3 linked regions of the Saccharomyces cerevisiae S288C genome follow. The protein of the gene in region 2 binds, or shares a complex with, the protein of the main gene of each other region. Each region holds a gene or a part of one and is shown on either strand. Other genes may lie near its edges.

The links. The genes of interacting proteins can lie anywhere in the genome.
Region 1: MRPL13 (region 2) and MRPL44 share a complex: the UniProt entries of both Saccharomyces cerevisiae proteins name them as parts of the mitochondrial large ribosomal subunit.
Region 3: MRPL13 (region 2) and MRP49 share a complex: the UniProt entries of both Saccharomyces cerevisiae proteins name them as parts of the mitochondrial large ribosomal subunit.

The regions. Positions count from the first base shown.
Region 1 is NC_001145.3:720,460-723,346, reverse strand, and holds MRPL44 (mitochondrial 54S ribosomal protein mL53 MRPL44), read left to right. Parts: upstream 1-1,943; coding exon 1,944-2,001; intron 2,002-2,148; coding exon 2,149-2,387; downstream 2,388-2,887. Other genes in the region: TATA-binding protein-associated factor TAF7, read left to right, coding at 1-734; ORA1 (oxidoreductase), read left to right, coding at 951-1,754; MRE11 (MRX complex nuclease subunit), read left to right, coding at 2,694-2,887. UniProt on the Saccharomyces cerevisiae protein: Component of the mitochondrial ribosome (mitoribosome), a dedicated translation machinery responsible for the synthesis of mitochondrial genome-encoded proteins, including at least some of the essential transmembrane subunits of the mitochondrial respiratory chain.
Region 2 is NC_001143.9:449,455-453,250, forward strand, and holds MRPL13 (mitochondrial 54S ribosomal protein mL50 MRPL13), read right to left. Parts: upstream 1,764-3,796; coding exon 969-1,763; downstream 1-968. Other genes in the region: YKR005C (uncharacterized protein), read right to left, coding at 1-497, 567-713; MEH1 (Meh1p), read left to right, coding at 1,980-2,534; RSC4 (Rsc4p), read left to right, coding at 2,747-3,796. UniProt on the Saccharomyces cerevisiae protein: Component of the mitochondrial ribosome (mitoribosome), a dedicated translation machinery responsible for the synthesis of mitochondrial genome-encoded proteins, including at least some of the essential transmembrane subunits of the mitochondrial respiratory chain.
Region 3 is NC_001143.9:133,221-136,405, reverse strand, and holds MRP49 (mitochondrial 54S ribosomal protein mL61 MRP49), read left to right. Parts: upstream 1-2,271; coding exon 2,272-2,685; downstream 2,686-3,185. Other genes in the region: cAMP-dependent protein kinase catalytic subunit TPK3, read left to right, coding at 701-1,897; putative serine/threonine protein kinase KKQ8, read left to right, coding at 2,944-3,185. UniProt on the Saccharomyces cerevisiae protein: Component of the mitochondrial ribosome (mitoribosome), a dedicated translation machinery responsible for the synthesis of mitochondrial genome-encoded proteins, including at least some of the essential transmembrane subunits of the mitochondrial respiratory chain.

The DNA of each region.
Region 1 (2,887 bases), on a different chromosome or scaffold from region 2:
TACACACAATTGCTTCGGCAGTAGGAAAACAAGGTGCAGAAGAAGAGGGAGAAGAAGGAATGGAAGAAGAAGAAGAGGAGGATCTTGACCTAGGCGCTGCTTTTGAAAGTGAAGAGGAAGGTAGCGGTGCCGAGGGAGACAAGGAGCAACAACAAGAGGAAGTCGGTGATGAGGTGGATCAAGACACAGGCGGAGAAGATGATGACGATGATGACGACGGTGACATTGAAGCTGCTGGTGGGGAAAGTGAATCTGATGACGAAAAAGACGAAAACAGACAGCACACTGAATTACTTGCGGACGAATTGAACGAACTAGAGACCACCCTGGCCCATACCAAGCATAAATTAAGTAAAGCCACGAATCCTCTTTTGAAAAGCAGGTTCATAGATAGCATTAAAAAGCTCGAGAAGGAGGCTGAACTAAAACGTAAGCAGTTACAACAAACCGAAGATTCTGTCCAGAAACAACATCAACATCGCTCTGACGCAGAAACTGCAAATAACGTCGAGGAAGAAGAAGAGGAAGAGGAAGAAGAAGAGGAAGAGGATGAAGTGGACGAAGACGAGGAGGATGACGAAGAAAACGATGAGGACGAGGATAATGTGCATGAACGGGAACACATACAAGAGAACAAGGTGGTGCGCGAACTTGATGAAGCCCCCGCAGAGGAAACACTCGACCAGAACGATCTCGATATGATGATGCTATTTGGTGCAGAGGGTGATGAGTAAGTTCTCTTTATCATCTATATATTACTCTTATACACTATACGACTCTACTCTATGACGTATAGCATTGATATATATTAAGGCACGACACCGATTTTTCTTATCGGAGCGATATAAAAAGCTGAAGAAAGGAGGATAGATGAAACAGCATGGCGCATAGAAAGTGTTCAAGCTCACTAGTAAAGGCGGGAAATAGAACATTGAGAACGTATTTTGATAATGTCCCAAGGTAGAAAAGCTGCAGAAAGATTGGCTAAGAAGACTGTCCTCATTACAGGTGCATCTGCTGGTATTGGTAAGGCGACCGCATTAGAGTACTTGGAGGCATCCAATGGTGATATGAAACTGATCTTGGCTGCTAGAAGATTAGAAAAGCTCGAGGAATTGAAGAAGACCATTGATCAAGAGTTTCCAAACGCAAAAGTTCATGTGGCCCAGCTGGATATCACTCAAGCAGAAAAAATCAAGCCCTTCATTGAAAACTTGCCACAAGAGTTCAAGGATATTGACATTCTGGTGAACAATGCCGGAAAGGCTCTTGGCAGTGACCGTGTGGGCCAGATCGCAACGGAGGATATCCAGGACGTGTTTGACACCAACGTCACGGCTTTAATCAATATCACACAAGCTGTACTGCCCATATTCCAAGCCAAGAATTCAGGAGATATTGTAAATTTGGGTTCAATCGCTGGCAGAGACGCATACCCAACAGGTTCTATCTATTGTGCCTCTAAGTTTGCCGTGGGGGCGTTCACTGATAGTTTGAGAAAGGAGCTCATCAACACTAAAATTAGAGTCATTCTAATTGCACCAGGGCTAGTCGAGACTGAATTTTCACTAGTTAGATACAGAGGTAACGAGGAACAAGCCAAGAATGTTTACAAGGATACTACCCCATTGATGGCTGATGACGTGGCTGATCTGATCGTCTATGCAACTTCCAGAAAACAAAATACTGTAATTGCAGACACTTTAATCTTTCCAACAAACCAAGCGTCACCTCATCATATCTTCCGTGGATAAACCTAGCTAAACTAAGTAAATCTGTATACTTTTTATACATGTAAGACTTTTTAGCTATTTCATTCTTCCCTGAACCGTTTTGCGCGATTCTACGGAATATACCGGCGAAATAAAAGAGATAAACTTATGGATCCTCAAATAGAGGATGAACAGATGTGAAGAAGAAACGAGCTTAATTATATCTTCGCCATGATAACTAAATACTTCAGTAAGGTAATTGTCAGGTTTAATCCCTTTGGCAAGGAAGGTATGTATTTTTTTTCGCTCTGTTATTCGTTCTCCTTACCTTTGGCCATCATGATTTAAAGATTTGGCTAAACTAGGCTGAGGTAGGCTCGAACCGATCTATCACAAATACTAACAGCAAATGATATGGTCATATCATTGATTTCAGCGAAAGTTGCTAGGTTAGTACTTGCTGCCATTCCACCAACGCAACGAAACATGGGCACGCAGATTCAATCGGAAATTATCTCAGATTACAATAAAGTCAAGCCTCTTGTGAAAGTAACCTACAAGGACAAAAAAGAAATGGAAGTCGATCCATCAAACATGAACTTTCAGGAATTAGCCAATCATTTCGACCGTCACTCGAAACAGCTGGATCTCAAACATATGTTGGAAATGCATTGAGAAAATAAAGGCATCTACAAATCTCATTGTAGGCATGCACGTTTCTAATATTCTAACAAAAACAAAGTCAGAGTTCACAAGCAAGCCTGTAAATAATATATATGCAATTACACAAACGTATAGATAGATATACCCAACCAAACTGACTTAAGGTTTAAATAGTATGGCCAATCGAATAGAACCCAAACATTATAGCCATATTAAATTACTCTTTACGCTTGTAAGGAAGACAATGTGGAAACAACATTAAGAGAATGCAGACAATTGACGCAAGTTGTACCTGCTCAGATCCGATAAAACTCGACTATGGACTATCCTGATCCAGACACAATAAGGATTTTAATTACTACAGATAATCATGTGGGTTACAACGAAAATGATCCCATTACTGGCGATGATTCTTGGAAAACTTTCCATGAAGTCATGATGCTGGCCAAAAATAACAACGTAGACATGGTTGTACAGTCCGGTGATCTTTTTCACGTGAATAAGCCTTCCAA
Region 2 (3,796 bases):
CCAGTAGCTGGAGACAGAGTTTTACCACTTATCGTTCTTTCGCGCAAATATTGAACTTCATTATTAGCGTCAACCACTTCGAACATGTCAACTGATGATATAGTCTTTTGATTATTGGTTAAAGAGGTTAATAGTGCAGAAATTAATTGGTTTTTTTCGAACTGCAAAGGGTTCCTAAAAAGAGTATTGTTTTGACCAACGAAATAAGACAATTTTCTACTAGAAAATTTGTTGCCTCTAGGTTTCAAAATCTCTCCGTCATCTAAAACTCCATTTGTCAATTGAAATTGTTCAACAACGATCTGCAACTTGTCATACTCATCTTTGGAGGTACAGTAATCGTGAAAGCAGCTATTATTAAGGGAACTCAAGGCACACTGTAAACATTTGCAGTTATCCAAGTCCTCCATTGTTTCATTATTCACAGTAACGCATGACCGACAAAATGCATATTGTTCATCAAAATAACGGGACACGCATTCACTTAAATTTCGTTTCTTCACATGGATCTTGTCAGTAATAAAATCTAGAGAATATTAGTACCTCGGTAAATTTGTTGTACATACGCAACTGGAGAGGAAGGGGGAAATCAGTTGTGAATTGTAACCTGGACATAAGTTAGGATCTGCCACAGTTTTGCTTTGAACCGCTGCGAGAACGCTCCCACCACCACCGGCAAAGAGAACCAGCAGAGCGCTTAGACATTCCAACATTATCAGTATATCTCGTGTGTTCCTGCCTCTTGATGATTTTAGCTAGCTGTAATGTGTAACGAATTATTCCCTTACTGCTTCTTGAGTTAGCCGCCAAAGAGGAAATATAGCCACAAAAAGAACTTACAGAAAAGATAAGGTAAAAAAAAAAAGTGATCTATAATGGGAAAGAAAAATCCAAACTTCTTCAAAGAGTATATATATGTACAGGATATTAAAATGTAATGATAGTAGTAATAATAGTATTAACATAAGCTAAGCGGATCTTGCTGTTTCCAAAGCTTTTCTTGTTGCATCATCCTCTAACTTTTGAATTTCTTTCATAATAGTATCATATTTACTTTTTTGCTCTTTAGAAGTAACATCGTTAACAACATATATGTTTGGTGACGCGTAATTATCAGAAAATGGGTGGATAGCATTTGGCTCAGCTTCTTTATAAGCGAGTTTAGGATCGTTGGCAGATGGCAAAATTTTTTCCTTAATATACCTTTTAAACTGCAAGGGTGTGCTTAAAGTGGTCAGTTCATAATCAGGAATTAGATAGCCAGATTTAGATTGCAAAAATTTGGTGAACTGAAATTTAGCTACCAAATCAGAGAATTGGACGTCCTGGTCTACTTTGCCCAATGTTTTTTCCGTTGCCTGCAATATCATATCATCTAACTGATTATCAGACGTAATCTTATCCCTGGATAACCACTGATTGAATGGCGCAGAGGAGACCGCAAGCTTCAACTCCTTCTGTCTCTTACACCGTCTAGACCCTTCGCCAATAAAATTTTCTGGTATTAGCTCCAATCTGTTTTTGTTATTGGAAGAGGATTGAGAGGAAGCCTCGTTAGTGCCTTCTTCAATATCCTTTATCAACTGTTTGGTGTCCTTGACAGGCTCTTGGTGCTCTTCTTGCTTCTTCCTCTTGAACCATGACATAAAGTCCCCGTTTGCAGCGGAACTGTGAATACATCTGGCTTTCTGCTTGTAGCCAGAGAGCCAGACCGACCTTTGCGGCAATGGTCTAATACAATGTAATTTAAGCAGTGACGACATCCTCATACTATGTCCGCCTTTCCGTCTACCCATTATTCACTTCAGGACTGATGATCAGGCATGCAGTTAATTTGACAGAAGTCGTTGTTTCACTATAAATTTGTCAGCTACCCGCCTCACCAGCAGCGATAAAGAACGAAGAATAAAAGAGAGCATTCACAGAGTACGAATCCAGTATAGCGGTAGTGGATACAACGACAGATTTAAGTCGTAAAAATGGGAGCCGTACTCAGCTGTTGTAGAAACCATTCCGGCGAAGAGAATGAAGCTTTGCTGAGGGAACAGCAGGCAGGCTATGGAAGTCAAGGAAACGCAAATGACGAATACGATGCCGAACAAATGCGGTTGAAGGAACACGAACACGAACAGAAACTGCTGGCCAGGGAACAAGAGTTAAGAGACATTGTTGCAAACACCAACGATAAACTAATAGACATATCGATGATAAACAATAGTGGCATTGTAATTCAAGGGACAGACCTGCAAGAAGCTCTTGATAAAAGACAACAGGAAGAAGGTGGAGATTCCCGGGAAGACGAAAGGAGTGCAGGTGATGACAACCTCAGTGGGCACTCAGTGCCTTCAAGCGGATCCGCACAGGCAACTACTCACCAAACTGCACCAAGGACTAATACGTTTACTCTGCTTACATCACCGGATTCAGCGAAAATATCAAAGGAACAGTTAAAGAAGTTGCACTCTAATATACTAAATGAAATTTTCAGCCAGTCCCAGGTAAACAAACCAGGCCCCTTGACGGTTCCCTTTTAATGAACTTTTTGTATAACATCATTGGTATACAAGCTTTATAAATAAATGTTAAATAGTTAATGAAATAAAAAATCACATTTGACGAATTCGGAAGACAAGTAGCCCAAGAAAAAAAACAACAAAAGCATGCTAGAGGATGATGTTTAAAACGACCCTCAGCCTGTTATTACAATAGAGAGCAAACCAAAGAATAATAGATAAAGTACACAGATATGGTAGTTAAGAAGCGTAAGTTGGCAACTGAGGCCGGTGGCAGTGATGAAAGGCCTAAATACTTGCCGGGAAAACATCCTAAAAACCAAGAGAAAACTCCGCATGTGGATTATAACGCCCCATTAAACCCTAAATCTGAACTTTTTCTAGATGACTGGCATATACCTAAATTTAATCGATTTATTAGTTTCACTTTGGATGTTCTTATCGACAAATACAAAGATATTTTCAAAGATTTCATCAAACTACCAAGTAGGAAGTTTCATCCACAGTATTATTACAAGATCCAGCAGCCAATGTCTATTAATGAAATCAAGTCAAGAGATTATGAATACGAAGATGGTCCAAGTAATTTTCTTTTGGATGTTGAGCTACTGACAAAGAATTGTCAAGCTTACAATGAATATGACAGTTTGATTGTAAAAAACTCCATGCAAGTAGTAATGTTGATTGAATTTGAAGTATTGAAGGCAAAAAATTTGAAAAGAAATTACTTAATTAACAGCGAGGTCAAAGCCAAATTACTGCACTATCTTAATAAGCTAGTTGACGCCACGGAAAAGAAAATCAACCAGGCTCTGCTGGGTGCGTCATCTCCTAAAAACTTAGACGACAAAGTCAAGCTAAGTGAACCGTTTATGGAATTAGTCGATAAAGATGAACTTCCTGAATATTATGAAATAGTGCATAGCCCCATGGCTTTATCGATCGTAAAGCAGAACCTCGAAATTGGTCAGTATTCCAAGATATATGATTTCATCATTGATATGCTTTTAGTTTTTCAGAATGCTCATATATTCAATGATCCAAGCGCTTTGATTTACAAAGACGCAACAACTTTAACAAATTATTTTAACTACTTAATACAAAAGGAATTCTTCCCAGAGTTACAGGATTTAAATGAACGTGGCGAAATTAATTTAGAATTTGACAAATTCGAATTCGAAAACTACTTAGCTATTGGTGGTGGTGGTCCAGCCGCAGCAGGTGCGTTAGCTATATCTGCTCTTGATAATGATATTGAGCCAGAATCTAACCGTGAAGATCTT
Region 3 (3,185 bases), 320 kb from region 2:
ATATGCCATGGTCCTAATTGAGTTCCTAGGTTTGTCACGACGGTGGCCACCGGCCGATCAACCGTATCATTTACTATTTTTTTCAAGAGGACAACGACTTCATTCTTCAAAAAGTCGTTCCAGGTACGAGTGATTTAGGAAGGTCTGAAGAAAAGCGACTATGCATTTTTGCAAAATTGCGTCAACGTTTCAGATACTCTCTGGTGCGCAAAAATGCGTTTATTTCAAGCCAAGTTGCAATCTTTATCAAAACTTGATATACATTAAAATACTCACTAATATATATATATATATATATATATGTACATATACATATATAGATTTATATGACGTTTCCGACGCATACTGGTGAACCACTTTCTTTTTAGTGAATAGCCTCATTATGCAGTTTCCGGTATTTTTTTTCCGTTGCTTCAGCTACGGGATTTCTTCGATGCCATTGAAAAATAAAGTTGTGTTCAATGAGAATATGGAAAGAAAAGACACTTTTTACCAGCTGATCTTAAAAGTTTTGTCTGCTTTATTACTTCTATCGGTAAGAAACTCGAGTGGACATACGAGACACTTTGTGCAGTCGTCGGAGAAAATTTATAGGCGATCACTCTTTAAGCAATAAGAAAGTTTCACGTATATTATTGAATAATACATTAATCATATTGTATATCGGTGGTTGTACAAGGAAAGAGCGAGCCTGCACAAAATGTATGTTGATCCGATGAACAACAATGAAATCAGGAAATTAAGCATTACTGCCAAGACAGAAACAACTCCAGATAACGTTGGACAAGACATTCCTGTAAACGCACATTCGGTGCATGAGGAATGTTCTTCCAACACACCCGTGGAGATAAATGGAAGAAACAGCGGAAAGTTGAAAGAAGAAGCGTCTGCAGGTATTTGTTTGGTTAAAAAACCAATGCTACAATATAGAGATACCTCAGGAAAGTATTCCCTAAGTGACTTTCAGATTTTAAGAACTTTGGGAACTGGCTCATTTGGGAGAGTTCACCTAATTCGTTCCAATCACAATGGGAGGTTTTACGCTTTGAAGACATTGAAAAAGCACACTATAGTGAAGCTGAAGCAGGTTGAACACACCAATGACGAACGCCGAATGCTTTCAATTGTTTCACATCCATTCATCATTCGAATGTGGGGAACGTTCCAAGATTCTCAGCAAGTTTTCATGGTAATGGACTACATTGAAGGTGGTGAATTATTTTCTTTACTACGTAAATCTCAAAGATTTCCCAACCCAGTAGCCAAATTTTATGCCGCAGAGGTATGCTTAGCGTTGGAATATTTGCACAGTAAGGATATAATATATAGAGACTTGAAACCAGAAAATATCCTTCTAGATAAAAACGGCCATATCAAGATAACCGACTTTGGCTTCGCAAAATACGTTCCCGATGTCACATACACATTATGTGGCACACCAGATTACATAGCGCCGGAAGTGGTCAGTACAAAACCGTATAATAAATCAGTGGATTGGTGGAGTTTTGGTGTGCTAATCTATGAAATGCTTGCCGGATACACTCCATTTTACAATTCGAACACCATGAAAACTTACGAAAATATACTGAACGCCGAATTGAAGTTCCCACCATTTTTCCATCCAGACGCGCAGGACTTATTGAAGAAGCTAATTACCAGAGACTTAAGTGAAAGGTTGGGTAACTTACAAAATGGAAGTGAAGATGTCAAGAACCATCCGTGGTTTAACGAAGTGATATGGGAGAAATTGTTAGCAAGATACATAGAAACGCCGTACGAACCACCAATCCAACAGGGCCAAGGTGACACTTCTCAATTTGACAGATACCCTGAAGAGGAATTCAACTATGGAATTCAAGGGGAGGATCCATATATGGATTTAATGAAAGAATTTTAAGGAGGTTCAGTGGGATAATTGTAATTGAAAAAAAAAAAAAATCAATAAAAGTAAAAACAAGAACAAGAAAAAGCACAAACAAACCTGGTTATAGATTCTTGGTGAGTCTAACAGGGCCATGATAAAAAAGTGACACATGCATATATGTACATGTATATATCTACGTACGTCTATTCAATAGAGGTGTATACAGATAAATAAAGGAGCATTCATATACGCCATATTGTGACTACATTTGCGTCCTCAGAAGACTGGGACGTTCAAAGTGATCTAGGACTTTTCACCCAGGGAAAACAGGATATCTGTAAGAATCGGCCATAAAACTCATTAATAGAAGAACAGTATAACATAAGTGAGCCTGCTACAATAAGAAGATGTCTAAGGTTGCACAACAGTTAAAATTTTTGAATAAAATTAGCGCCACTACCAGACTACCGCAGATTCTAGTCGATCCTAAAAAATACTCAGGTCTTAGATTGACTTTTCAAACGAAAAACCACAATGGACATATGGGTGCCAGAGTTTTTTGGCATAACTACCTACCCACTTTGCAGTTCTATAATCCAAGAATGAAGTTTGACGTGATAAGGATAAAGAACGAAGACAAGCAAAAAAGCGTTCCATGCAAACTGGAGATTTTATCTCATGAAGGCTCCGTTGTAGAGACTATTGATATGCGTAATAAAATGCATGAAGATATAATGAAAGACTTACTTGACAAAATAGAGCACGTTCCTCTTCCTGAAAATGAGATCATAAGAGTTGGACCGCAAGAAAGTATTATATAAGCTTTCTCTCGATAAGTTTGTTCATGTATATATCAAAAAACATTGCCCTTCATGGAAATATGTAAATTCAAAACTCACTTATGGGGCATATAAGTATATAATTTAGAGTACAATAAGTAGGATTGTGCTGAATATTGTCAGCCCTTGGGTCCCTTTTTTTGCCCTCCGCGTATTTCTTGTGGAAAATAAGGAAATTTCATTTTCACTTCAACTAGCTAGTTTAATTGCATGATGGACTCAAAAACATTGACAGCATCAATGGTAATGCAGGAGGAGAAGAAGCGGCAACAACCTGTGACAAGAAGAGTAAGGTCATTTTCTGAGTCCTTTAAAAACCTTTTCAGGCCGCCTCGTTCAAGAGATTCAAGTCCTATTAATGTCACCCGAATTCCTTATCGATCGTCTTCTACCTCACCCAAGAGAAGCTCTGAGCCACCAAGACGATCAACCGTATCCGCACAAATTTTAGATCCAAAAAATTCTCCAATACGCCAGCGTAG